Linked DNA regions of Caenorhabditis elegans. The protein of the gene in region 1 purifies or fractionates together with the protein of each later gene. This does not show direct contact. Each region holds a gene or a part of one and is shown in the gene's direction. Other genes may lie near its edges.

The links. Proteins that work in one complex are often made in the same cells at the same time.
Region 2: the proteins of sod-1 (region 1) and Y22D7AL.10 fractionate together in Caenorhabditis elegans (co-fractionation; one large-scale study listed by BioGRID). This does not show direct contact.

What each region holds. Positions count from the first base shown.
Region 1 is NC_003280.10:6,970,212-6,977,693, reverse strand, and holds sod-1 (Superoxide dismutase [Cu-Zn]), read left to right. Parts: upstream 1-3,806; 5' UTR 3,807-3,813; coding exon 3,814-3,861; intron 3,862-4,192; coding exon 4,193-4,276; intron 4,277-4,319; coding exon 4,320-4,478; intron 4,479-4,522; coding exon 4,523-4,676; intron 4,677-4,720; coding exon 4,721-4,818; 3' UTR 4,819-4,988; downstream 4,989-7,482. Other genes in the region: C15F1.8 (Ribosomal protein L29), read left to right, coding at 327-440, 498-884; putative very-long-chain enoyl-CoA reductase art-1, read left to right, coding at 5,460-5,577, 5,622-5,852, 5,897-6,036, 6,327-6,636, 6,691-6,818; C15F1.5 (RING-type domain-containing protein), read left to right, coding at 7,109-7,165, 7,213-7,341. UniProt on the Caenorhabditis elegans protein: Protects cells against oxidative stress by converting superoxide radicals to hydrogen peroxide. Required for normal brood size. May be involved in regulating mpk-1 phosphorylation downstream of phosphatase ptp-2 during oocyte maturation.
Region 2 is NC_003281.10:1,614,727-1,620,847, reverse strand, and holds Y22D7AL.10 (10 kDa heat shock protein, mitochondrial), read left to right. Parts: upstream 1-1,918; 5' UTR 1,919-1,925; coding exon 1,926-1,952; intron 1,953-2,004; coding exon 2,005-2,118; intron 2,119-2,457; coding exon 2,458-2,577; intron 2,578-3,407; coding exon 3,408-3,473; 3' UTR 3,474-3,697; downstream 3,698-6,121. Other genes in the region: hsp-60 (Chaperonin homolog Hsp-60, mitochondrial), read right to left, coding at 485-793, 943-1,089.

The sequences.
Region 1 (7,482 bases):
TGCTAATTGCACCTTATTTTCATATCCAGACTTCTGAAAAAGTTGTCAAAAATTTTTTTTTGGAACTTTTGTGTGAAAAAATCGATAAAAATCGAGAAAATTCGATAAAATCAGATCCCAAATGAAAAAAAAACCCAAACTTTTTTCCAAACATAATAAAAATGCTGTGTCAATGCTAATTGCACCTTATTTTCATAACCAGACTTCTGAAAAAGTTGTCAAAAATTTTTTTTTGGAACTTTTGTATGAAAAAATCGATAAAAATCGAGAAAATTCGTTTTTTTTTCCATTAAAAACAGGAACATAAATCATTTATAAATTTTCAGATGGTCAGCAGGAAAAGGCGGGCAGCACAGATTGAAAGTAGCCGTAAAGGCGTCGCCAGCATTCGAGCTCGTTGTGATATGGAGGCTTCCTGTTCCAGTTCCCAAGAGAACGAGGTAATTTTTTTGTTGGAAATTTCTAAATATTAAAAAAAATTTTTCAAAATTTTTCAGGCTTCGCGTGCATCTACCAGTCAATGCAGTTCCCCGAAAAATTTGAAAATGGAAAATGTTACTATCTTGCCAAAAACATTGAAGCTGATACATGATGATCCGAAGAGTCAAGTAATTGTTTCAATACAATTTGAGATAGAAGATACTAAAAAAAAAATATCAGCTGCCATTCTAAACTTCAATATCTCTAAAAAAGCGAATAATGCGATAAGAAGTGAGAGAAAGCGGATCGTGGCAACGATACTCAAGACTCGGAAACATGTGGAACGATTCAGAAGACTTTGGAAAAAAGAGAAAAAGAAAAAAGAACACTCTGAAATTCTATACAAGAAAAGCCAGCTGAGCAAACAGGAGACTATTGCAAAATTTCCTCCGATGTTTCGCTGATCTTTTGGCAATCTCAAAAATTCGGAATCGAAACGAGTACGCTTCTCTGAGGCCCTGTATGTTCTACAACAGATGACAAAACTGGAAGATATGCTCCATTCATAAATGGCTTCTTGAAATTTGTTCGCGAACGGAAGGAACAGACGTTTTGCAATCAACTTTCTTCATTTCAAACGTTGGTATTGAAGAAAAAATGTGAACTGACGCATTCACAATTGACGAAATTGAAGAATCACTTTCTTGGATATCTGGGATTTGACATTTTGCCAGGCATGAAGCCCGGATTGCAGTTGGCCACCAAGTTTTCCATGGCTTCTGTCTTCAAAGTGAAACTTCATGTCAATTCAGAAAAAACTCCAGTGACGGTCTGCCAATGCCACGATATTGCACGAGTGTTGAAACATCGAATCGAACTTCTTGCGAAATCTCGGATACTTCTTGTCAATGATATTGGTGAGCAGGACAAAATATGGAATCCACTCCTTCTCGTCCTTTGAAGGCACGATTTGTTCTCAAGAAACGTTCCGAATAATACGATAGTTCAACCAGCCTGTACAATTCCTGATTTAATATTTTTAGCTCAGGTAAAATAATATATACGGGGAAGCATTCTGTTGAATTTGTGCCCTCCGGTTCAAAATACCATAGTCGCAGTTATATAAACGATTTTTTGCAGAAATCTGGCGATAGAAACTGGACAAAGACGACGAATTTCCCAAAATCCACCAAAAAGTCCATATTTTATCAATATAATTATCAATCGATTCTTTTTTTTTAATTTTCTCTTATTTTTCACAAATTTTCTCAATAAATTATAATTATGTTTTATTCAAAGCAGTTAAGACTCATTTTCTCGCTAGGTACAGTAAGAAGTGCACAATGTCGTAAAATGCGGTGTATTGTGTGCAAACACCGTTTTTTCGCATTTTTCTCGGCCCTCGTTCGAAAAAAGTCGCAGTGCTTTGGTGCAGTAGCCGTGATATCTTGATGTACTCCATTCTCTTGATTTTTTACAAAACATTTCTCCGCCTGGTATGAGCACAGCCATGCTTGTGATTACATTTAGAAAAACCATATACCAACTGATCGGACATGCCAAAGAAGAAAACAATATTTTTGAAGATGCATAGCTCTCTGATAATATCCTTAGTCTTCTCAGAGACTATTGAAAAATATATTCTGAAAAGATAAACATTTATAGGCACTTTCCAATTGAAAACTCGCTGTTCAATAGATCTCAAATGGCAGAGAACAATTTTTAGGTTTTTCGGTGGGAGACGAAGAAGAGGAAAAGAAGAGTCACCATTCATCACAAGAGAATAAAAGCAGAATGAGACAACAATAATCCAGGACCTATTCAAAGAGCACCTTGAATATCGATTGCCAGTTGACCCCTGAATCATTCTCTTGGGTTTTTAGCCCCCTTCTTTTCTCACCTCCATTGTCTACATCATAAAGACCAAAAGGATATTCTACGTCAATAGGAATTGTCAGAATTATCAGTTTTGATATCAAAAATTGCCAGCTTTAGTACAGTAGAATAACTATGCGATTCATGCTGCTTATTATTTATTCAAAATTTAAATTTTAACCAACTGTGAGTTTATTTTATAGAACATTTTTCGAAATAAAATTCAAAAAAATAAAAATTGTTATTTTTCAAAATCTTAATCTTAATTTAGCACCATTACCGACAGGCAATGATAGAACACCAAACCGGACTGACCAAGTGTCGTACCAGTTTCGAGCAATCAAGTATTGAGAGACTGATATTCTTGCTGATACTATACTCTTAAGATATGAAACGATATCTACCCCTCTAGCCCCCTACTCGTGCGCCCTCAGTTACCTACCTACCCCGTTACCTACCCTACCCTACCTACCTACTCAGTCTCCTACCTACCCCGACCGTATCATATCTTTAGAATATAGTATCAACAAGAATACCAATCACCCAACCCCAATCACTCGAAACCGTTAGGCACCAGGTTAGCCAGTCTGGATTAATCGAGAGTAAACCACTTGACTCCAGACAACTACATCTTATACTTACTTACGTCTGGGGGACAATCTTGGGATTCTCAAGATGACTTCCATTACGAAGTCTCTTGCAATAACCAATTACCACAATTTTGGAGCAGAATTAAACTCACCCACCAGTACAGGATCAAAGATGAATAATGAATGAGAGGCCCTCCTCTCATTGTTGTGGGCGGGGTCAAGGGGTCAAAGTTTTTTGAATTTCGAAATTTTGAAATTTTGGAATTGTTAAATTTTTGGAAATCTAATTTTTGAAAGAACCACATTTTCCGTTTACAATTTGAGTTCAATTCCGCAACCCCGTCAAATTTAAGAAGAGAAAGAAAAAAAACACAACGTGTTTGCACCTGTAAGGTAGTTTTTTTTTGTTGCCTTCGGCGTTTTGATTCACATGAAAGTTTCTACGGAAAAACTTTCATTGCATAACGATCTTCATATCTTGTTTCTGGAAACGAAAATTTCCAACATGAAAGAAACCCGACGCTATTTATTCTCGCAACACAAAAATTTCACATTTAAATAACCGCGGTTTTTCTCGAACAGCATATTTGACGCGCATTGCTCGTCAAGTTTGATGCGTGCACACTATTTTGCTGTTGTTTTTTTCTTTTTTCTCTAAATTTTCTTTACGCTTTCGTAGTTTCTATAGAAACGATTCTCCACTCCCGGTTTTCTTCCGATTCTCAAAATTAATTAAAATTTAGTTATTAAAAATCCTTTTTCTTGAAATAATCGTTCAATTTCGAGTTTTCAAGAGTGGAGACGTTGAATTTGTGAGCCGCTTATTTTTTCTGTGTTTTTGTTTTGTGGTTTTTAATCAGTGTCATAATCATACTTTCCATTGTTTCTTTATTATTCAAAGTTGTAGATTCAGTATTTTAGATCGGTGATGTTTATGAATCTTCTCACTCAGGTCTCCAACGCGATTTTTCCGCAGGTCAGTGCTTATCCGAAACATTCGTCATTCGCAACTTGGGCCTATTTGATCTATGGCGTTGTGTTGTTGCCTTTACCTTAATTATCATCATTTTCATCAGAAACCCACAAAAACTAGAGACATAGCTACAAAATTCTGCGACCGAGAGGCGGGTACACACACAATGTTGTCTATTTCATCTCGCTCCACCTTCTCTCTCTCTCTCTCGTGTTTACCATTTCTTTTTTAATTTTGCATCTATCGACTGTGATCTGCCTGTTTTTTTCTAATTCTAAACTTTTTGCCGTGATATTCCTTAGAGTGTTCCCTAGAAAATTCGTTGAATTTACAGGTCGAAGCCGCTCAAAAAATGTCGAACCGTGCTGTCGCTGTTCTTCGTGGAGAAACTGTTACCGGTACTATCTGGATCACACAGGTTAGCCGAGTTTTCCGCTTAAATCATTTGTATTCTTTTTCAGAAGTCCGAAAATGACCAGGCAGTTATTGAAGGAGAAATCAAGGGACTTACTCCCGGTCTTCATGGATTCCACGTTCACCAATATGGTGATTCCACCAACGGATGCATTTCTGCCGGTCCACACTTCAATCCATTTGGAAAGACTCATGGTGGACCAAAAGTATGGAAATTTTTTATATCGCTTGAATTATAATATTTTTTCAGTCCGAGATCCGTCACGTAGGCGATCTAGGAAATGTGGAAGCTGGAGCCGATGGAGTGGCAAAAATCAAGCTCACCGACACGCTCGTCACGCTTTACGGTCCAAACACTGTCGTTGGCCGATCTATGGTTGTTCATGCCGGACAAGACGACCTCGGTATGAACAATTCGAATTAAAAATCAATTTAGTAAACTTTCCAGGCGAGGGAGTCGGAGACAAGGCAGAAGAGTCCAAGAAGACTGGAAACGCCGGAGCTCGTGCTGCCTGCGGTGTCATTGCTCTCGCTGCTCCCCAGTGACTACCTGAATCGCGTCTCTGAATCTCCACACAATTCCTACTAAAGACAATTTTTCATTTCTTGCTTTGTCGTTATATTCTTAAGAATCCCGTTGTTCCTACTCCTACTACTGTATATTTTCACATAAAATTTCTTCAAAATTTCAAATAAAGGTTGTAGTTTCCAATTTCTATGTTTTACAAATCTCAATGTCTCTGCTCATTATATCAATACTTCACTTTTCAGTTTTGTTACCAAACTGCCATAAATGTTGTGCCAGCCGTTAAACTATCAACAAGTTCTGACGGAGAAGGGCGATTTTTCGAGCAGTTGAATAAGAATCACCTGATAATGAGGCTATTTCAAAAAACGTTTAAATATTATCGCTTTTCCCTTATTTAAGGCAGACAAAAATCTTTGAAAATATAATAATTTCTATTTTTTAATGCATTTAGTAAATTTTATTTCGAGGTCGTTCGTTTCAATTGGCATTTTCACAATGCTTCTCTTCTTTTTTTATCAGTTCAATTGATAGCGACCCGTAAAAGAAAATCACACCATTTTTATAATAGTGGACTGCAAAAAATTCGTTTCTTTCTGAATAGAGCCAGTTTTTGTGAAAATTCCTTTTTTTCAGTTTATATAAAACCTCAATTTTCAGAATGAGTGGGATTCTGGAGGTTTATGACGCAAAGCGTACGGACAATCTCATCATCACCCTCGAGGGAATTTCTGGATCCGAAACGATCAAAGCTATCAAGAAGCGAATTGCCCAGAAAAGTTTGTGAATCGAAATTTATGATTTATTAGCTAAATAATTTCAGAGCTGAAACTCACCGAAGAACGTCAGGCTCTCCGTGTCGAACCAAAGGGTAAACCATTGGCTGATGACCAAAAACTCTCCGATCTTGGACTTTCATCTCAAAAAGCAGTTTTATATGTAAGAGATCTCGGACCACAAATCGCCTGGAAGACTGTCTTCATGGCTGAGTATGCTGGACCTTTGTTCGTTTATCCGCTTTTCTATCTTCGACCAACTTTCATTTATGGACAAGGTGAGCCGGATTAATATTATTTCACACAATATCTTACATTACAGCCGCTGTCAATGCTACCATGCATCCAGCAGTACAAATCGCCTTCTTTGCATGGAGCTTCCACTACGCCAAGAGATTGTTCGAAACTCAATTCATCCATAGATTCGGAAACTCGACTATGCCACAGTTCAATTTAGTCAAGGCATGTTTCAAAAATAAAAATAAAAACAATTGAGTAAAAAGTAATAAGGGACACTAATAGTAAGTTGCAAAAGTTGCGTTGATGAAAAAATTATTTTACGCTCTACGGCAATTTTCAATCTGAAATATAGCAACAAAAAAAAACTAGTAAAAACGTTGAATATGCCTAAAATTCAAAGTTAGAATATTTCGTACAACTTTAGGTAGTTTTAGTAGAGAATTTTGAAACGGACAAGATTAAAAATAAAATTCACTAATCGATAAACAAATTTCTATTTCCTGAATTTTCAGAACTGCTCCTATTACTGGGGATTCGCTGCCTTCGTCGCCTACTTTGTCAATCACCCACTTTTCACACCACCAGCTTTCGGAGATCTTCAGGTTTATTTCGGACTTGCCGGTTTCGTGATTTCGGAGTTTGGAAATCTCTCGATCCACATTCTTCTCCGCAACCTCCGTCCAGCTGGAACCCGCGAACGTCGTATTCCAAAGCCTGATGGAAATCCACTTTCTCTCCTCTTCAACTACGTTTCGTGCCCGAACTACACATATGAGGTCGCATCATGGATCTTCTTCTCCATTATGGTCCAATCTCTTCCAGGTAAATAAAAAACTTGTAAATATAATTGATTTTATTCATAATCTTAAAATTTAGCAATCATCTTCACCACCGCTGGATTCGCTCAAATGGCAATCTGGGCCCAAGGAAAGCACCGCAACTACCTCAAGGAGTTCCCAGATTACCCAAAAAATCGCAAGGCCATCGTTCCATTTGTTCTCTAAATTATCGCATTTGCGCCGAATATTTATTGTATTTTTCATGTACTCTTGCAGTTCTATTATTACCAATCCGCTTATTTCAATCAGTAATTTATTAAATAGACAATTTCTCCAGATAAATGTTTGCTTGAAAAATGTTGCAAGTCTTGGTTGGTGAAAAAAAAGCGTTAATAAAAGAGAAAAAATGTTTAAATAAAAATAACGTGATATTGTTTTTTACATCGAAAATTTAAAATGTTCCCGACTTCAATGTAGAAAGAAGATTATTTCGAAATATTTCAAGTTATCCAAAGATGTCAATTTGGTGTGCAGTTTGCAATGATTTAAAACCATGTGAAGAAGCAACTCAAGTGAGATTATTGCATTATTCTCAGCCATACGGATTCAAATTTTCCAGTTGATTCCCTGTTTGCACACATTCTGCACAAAATGCCTCAAAAAATCAACCAAAAAGATGCGTGTCTGTCCAGTTGCACATTGTTACTCGAGTCTTACAGCTCCTGAACCAATGACAAGCACTTGCGAAGTTAGTAATTACAAAGATTCGAACTTTTATGACTTTTCCGCCAAAGATACGGTCTCGAAACGGCAATTTCGTTAATTTCAAGTTGGTGCGCGTCTTTGAAGGGTACTGTAGTCTTGTGAACTCTCGTTGCCACGGAATTTG
Region 2 (6,121 bases), on another chromosome or scaffold:
CATTGAATGAAAAATTGCATCAGAGCTGCCAATTGTTCCAAAAAGCACCACATTTTGGCGAACTTTTTGAATTTTCAAGGTTTTTCGAGACAAATCAGTGAAAATTTGTAATTTTTCGGGAATATTCGGGTTTTTCCGTCAAACAATAAGCTTTTCGTCCTGAGTAGGGGAAAAATGACGGTTTTTCAAGATTTTCAGAGCAAATCAGTGAAATTTTGTCAGTTTTCCGGAATATGAAGGTTTTTCCGTCGAACAAATAAGCTTTATGGCCCGAATTGGGAAAAAATGACGGTTTTTTGAAGATTTTGAATTCCTGGCAACTGATTTTAGCCACAAATTCGCGATTTTCAAGCAGATTTGAGCGAAATTCTAGTTTTTCCTCTAACATCAAATGAAAATCGCTTCAAAATTGGGTCAAAAATCCCAATTTTTCCAAAAATCACTGTGGCTTTTGAATTTAAATCCACAATTTCCCGGTATTAACCTTCTTGGAGATCTTCTTGAGCTCTGCAACGACGACTTCGACGGCGTTCATGACTCCACGACGGATCTCGACAGCGTTTCCGCCTTGACGAATGCTCTCGAATCCCTCTTTGGCGATGGCTCTGGCGAGAACTGTGGCGCAGGTGGTTCCGTCTCCAGCCTCCTCATTAGCCTTGTTGGCGACATCTTGAATGAGCTTGGCTCCCAGGTTCTGGTATTTGTCCTTGAGGTCGATGGATTTCGCGACGGTGACTCCGTCCTTTGTGATCTTTGGGCTTCCCCACGACTGCTCGATGATCACGTTTCTTCCCTGAAAGAGTTTGGAGTTTTAGAGGCTGTATTTATGAAGAAAAAAAAATTAAATTTTGCATTAAACCGGAAGTTTTGTGTATAAAAATACGTTAAAATAGATTTTTTTACAGCATTTTTTCCTCAATTTTCACATCAAAATCCCCGTACTTTTGGGCCCATAGTGACAGAGACGGCGTCGGCGAGCAGGTTGACTCCGACGAGCATGGCCTGTCGTCCTTCGGCTCCGAACTTGACGTCCTTGGCGTAAGATCTGACGACGGCGGTCTGAAGTCCCTTTCTGGCGAGGCGAAGCATCTTTTGTGTCTGAAAAACTACGAAAATTGTGTGAAAATCTGCAGCGGAAAGGCGAAAATGCGAGCAAAATCAGAGTTTCTCATCGAAAATGAAGCGAGAAGCCTTGCATTATCGTCTGAGAAGCAGAAAAGGAGTGAAAAATAACGAGAATGGATGAGAAATCGGCTGGGAAAACGGTAAAACAGATATTTCCCCTAATTTAGACGATAAATGGCCTATAAATAAGCATTTTTCAATCGTTTTTTATGAAAATGAAGCGAGAAGCCTTGCATTATCGTCTGGGAAGCAGGTAATGACTGAAAAATACAGGAATAAATGAGAAAATAGCTGGGAAAACTGTAGAATAGTTTTTTCCCCTAATTTCGACGAAAAATGGCCCAAAAATAAGCATTTTTCAATGGTTTCTGATGAAAATAGAAGCAAAAAACCTCAATTTTTCGTTCAAAATATGAAAAATGAGAGAAAAATAACGAAAATGACGCAAATTTTGATGTAAAATGGCTAATTTACATCAGAATAGACTTTTGCATCATTTCACTCGCTCCGCCCAGTTTTGCAAGGTGCGCACACTTTTCTAGGTGGAGCTGAGCGCGCTGATTGGCTGAATTTGCGGCGCGGTGTCTGCCATTGGCCCGACACGCCTAGATTTGCAAGTTTGCCGCACGAGATTTTTCGCGCCGCACATTTATTTTCTGCTTTTTTTCTCGAAGCTTCTTTTGGTTTTTTGATCATTTTCTGAATTTTCGCGGGTTTCTTCGGGTTTTTTCGTTGTTTTCATGTAATTTCCCGCTAAAAATAAATTTTAAAACTCAAAAAACCAATTTTTCAGCCGAAAAATGTTCCTCACCGCTGTCCGCCGATCGGTAAGCTATTTTCCCGGTGTTTTCTCCGAATTAAACGCGTATTTTTTTGCAGAGCAATGTCCTCAAGACCTTCAAGCCACTCTATGATCGTGTGCTCGTCGAGAGAGTCGCCGCCGAGACCAAGACAAAGGGAGGAATCATGCTCCCGGAGAAGTCACAGGGAAAAGTGAGCAATTTTTGGCCTAAAAATTGATTTTTCAGGTGAAAACTGATAAATTTCAACGTCTTGGAGCAGATTTCTAGCACAAAAATGCCAATTTCACCGTCAAAATGGTGCAACTTGGCGTCTAAAACACAGTTTCTAGCTAAAAACCTTCAATTTTATACGAAAAATGTTAATTTTCACCGAAAATTCCGTAAAGTCTGGTGTAATGATGCAATTATCGATTTTCCCTGCCAACACGCTCTCCGACTGCTCGCGGAGGTTTTTGTCCAATTTTTATCCGAAATTACCGAATTTTCACTCAAATTAAAGCAATTTCCACCTAATTTTCGAATATTTCAGGTCCTTGAAGCCACCGTCGTCTCTGCCGGAGCCGGACTTCGCAACGAGAAGGGAGAGCTCGTCGCATTGACTGTGAAGCCAGGAGATCGTGTCCTTCTCCCAGAATACGGAGGCACCAAGGTACAAAATGCGACGAATTTCGAGCGAAAATATGGATTAATTGGCGAATTTTTAATGTGAAAATCTGAATTTCCGTTGAAATTTCACACAATTTGGACGAAAATCGGGATTTTTTTTAACATTTCAGTGTAAAAGTAGCGTTATATTACTGAAAAGTCATTGAAATCAACGAAAATTGCACAAAAATTGTGTTTTTTCAGCCGAAATCCAAGATTTTTTCAGAAAAATCAGGAAAAATTGTATTAAAATACGATTTTTCCCCCAAAAACTGAATATCACGCGCTTTTCGCTCTAAATTATTGGGGAAATACCTTTAATATAGTACATTTACGCTAAAACCCAACGAAAATTGCACAAAATTTGCCGATTTTCACCGGAAATCTAGCATTTTCTCTGTAAAAATTCATTTTTATGAACGAATTTCGAGAAAAACTGAATTAAAGTACGATTTTTACGCCAAAAAACTGAATTTCATGGGTTTTTCGCTCTAAATTATTAGGAAAAAACCTGAAAATCAGTTTATTTTCGCTGAAAATCCACAAAAAGTGCCGATTTTCACCGGAAATCTAGCATTTTCTTTGAAAAAATCCCAAATTTCCTTCGTTTTTTAAGGAAAAACTAGGTTAAAATATGATTTTTACGCCAAAAAAACTGAATTTCAGGCGGTAAAATGTCAGTTTTTTCCAGTGAAATATAGTTTTAGGCCAAAATTTTGACAAAATACCTGAAAATTAATTAATTTTTTGCTTACAGACCGCGAAAATTGCGCAAAAACATATTTTTTCGACCGATTTTCGCAGGAAATCCCAACAATTTTTCCCCAATTTCAGGTCGTCGTCGAGGACAAGGAATACTCAATCTTCCGCGAGTCTGATCTTCTCGGAGTCTTCCATTAAATTATCTTCCATATGGCTTTCGGTCTCACAAATCTTCATTCAATTATTCCCCTCTCTCTCTCTCTCTGTTTATTTAATTTTTTAATTTCAATTTTTTGAGTTTAGATTTTAGGAAATTCCTCTTTTTTGTTGAAAAAATCGATTGTTATAGTTCCTTTTTTCCTTGATTTTTCGCCGGTATTGTTTTTCTTTTTTTTCGATTTTAAATAATGATTTTTCAGATTTTTCTTGTTCTCTGGCCACAGACAATGTTTTCGATGTGACAGGGCGAACCGAGAAAAGCTCAATGTGGCTTGGAGAACCGGAAAAAACAAACGGCGTACTTAAAAGACACGGCAGTGGTCGAACCTTTTCAAGCTCTGAGCTATTTTTTAACCGTTTTTAAATATTTTTAGCGCTTTTCTGCAATTTTTTGAAAAATTTTGAATTGCCGCCAATTTAATTTGTTCGATGGAGCGCGCTTGCATTATTTTACTGATTTTTTTTCGGTTTTTTGGAAATTGAATTTCCCGTCAAAAAGATCCAAAAATAAACTAAAATGATGCAAGCGCGCTCCATCGAACATCTTGAACTCTTGGCGGTAATTCGAATTGGAACGCAAACTGAGGATTTTCCTTCCAATTTTCAACAAAAAAAAACATTTTTTTTGGGGTACGGTAGCTTCAAAAGAACGCAAACACCGCAGTGCTTACGACAAAATGCAGAATTTCTCAATTTTTTGTAAAAATCACATGCCTATGGGTAAAATGAGGTGCTGAATCTGAATTTGTTAGTTAAAATTCATAAAACTAAAGTTGAAATGTCAAAAAATGAGTTTTTATGACTTTATCGTCAGGAAAATTGTATTAAAATTCATTTTTGCAGATTTTCATGTAAAAATTTGAAATCTTCGTGACATTTCACCCTAGAAAAACCTTTTTGTGAGTTTGCAGTGCAAATATTGAACATTTTGGGGTACGGTAGCTTCAAAAGTACGCAAACACCGCAGTTTTTACGACAAAATGCAGAATTTCTCACTTTTTTGTAAAAACCATGTGCCTAGGGGTAAAATGGGGTGCTGAATCTGAATTTGTTAGTTAAAAGTCTTGAAACTGAAGTTGAAAAGTCAAAAAATGAGTTTTTATGCTTTATCCTCAGGAAAACTGAATTAAAATTCATTTTTGCTGATTTTTATGTCAAAGTTCGAAATCCTCGTTAAATTTCACCCATAAAACCTTTTTTGTGAGTTCTCAGCGCAAGAATTAATGTTGCTGATTTTCATGTAGAAATTCAAATTTATCGATAAATTTCACCTTGGTAACCATTATTTTGAGTTTGCAGTAAAAAATGCGGGAGTTGAGACGCAGATTCACATTTTTCTGGGCGAAAAATTCCCGCATTTTTTGTAGATCAAACCGTAATGGGACAGCTTGGCGCCAACATTCCTAGTTCCAAGGTGGCCAATTATTGGAAATTTTCAGCTATCCCACTGCCATCGGCTTGATTTCTTCTGGAAAGCTTGACCTCTCTGGACTATATCCAAAGCCTATTACAAGCTCAAATTGCCGATTTGCCGGAAATTTTCAATTCCGGCAAATCGCCGGTTTGCCGATTTTAGAGGAAAATTTCAATTCCGGCAATTTGCCCATTTGCATATTTGCCAGAATTTTTCAATTCCGCCAGTTTGCCGATTTTCCGGAAATTTTCAATTCCGGCAAATTGTCGATTTGCCGGAAATTTTCAATTCCGGCAAATCGCCGGTTTGCCGATTTTAGAGGAAATTTTCAATTCCGGCAATTTGCCGATTTGCATATTTGCCAGAATTTTTCAATTCCGCCAGTTTGCCGATTTGCCGGAAATTTTCAATTCCGGCAAATCGCCGGTTTGCCGATTTTAGAGGAAATTTTCAATTCCGGCAATTTGCCGATTTGCATATTTGCCAGAATTTTTCAATTCCGCCAGTTTGCCGATTTTCCGGAAATTTTCAATTCCGGCAAATCGCCGGTTTGCCGATTTTAGAGGAAATTTTCAATTCCGGCAATTTGCCCATTTGCATATTTGCCAGAATTTTTCAATTCCGCCAGTTTGCCGATTTTCCGGAAATTTTCAATTCCGGCAAATCGCCGGTTTGCCGATTTTAGAGGAAATTTTCAATTCCGGCAATTTGCCGATTTGCCGGAAATTTTCAATTCCGGCAATTTGCTGATTTGCCGGAAATTTTCAATTCCGGCAAATTGTCGATTTGCCGGAAATTTTCAAAAATTTTGAAAAATAAGTTTTTTGGAAAAAAATTATTTGAAAAAAATTTTTTTTGAAATTTTTTTTTTCAAAATTTCAAAAAATTTCAAAAAATTTTCAAAACCCCTCATTTTCTTTTTCAAGAATTTTTCAAGGAAAAGGTTGTCTGGAGCAAATAAAATCAAATTATATTTTTAAAAAAAATATTAAAAATCTGAAAGTTAATTTTTTTATTTTTTTTTATTACTGAGAAATTCGATTTCTAATAAAAAAACATCGATTATTTATTGATTTCTGCAAAGATTGAAGTTTATTTCTGAAAAAAATCAATATCAGTTATTATGAATTTGCGAAAACAAATCGATTATTTATTTTTTGAAAAAAATTTTTTTTTAAATATTTTTTTTTATCCTTACTGAAAACTCTGATAA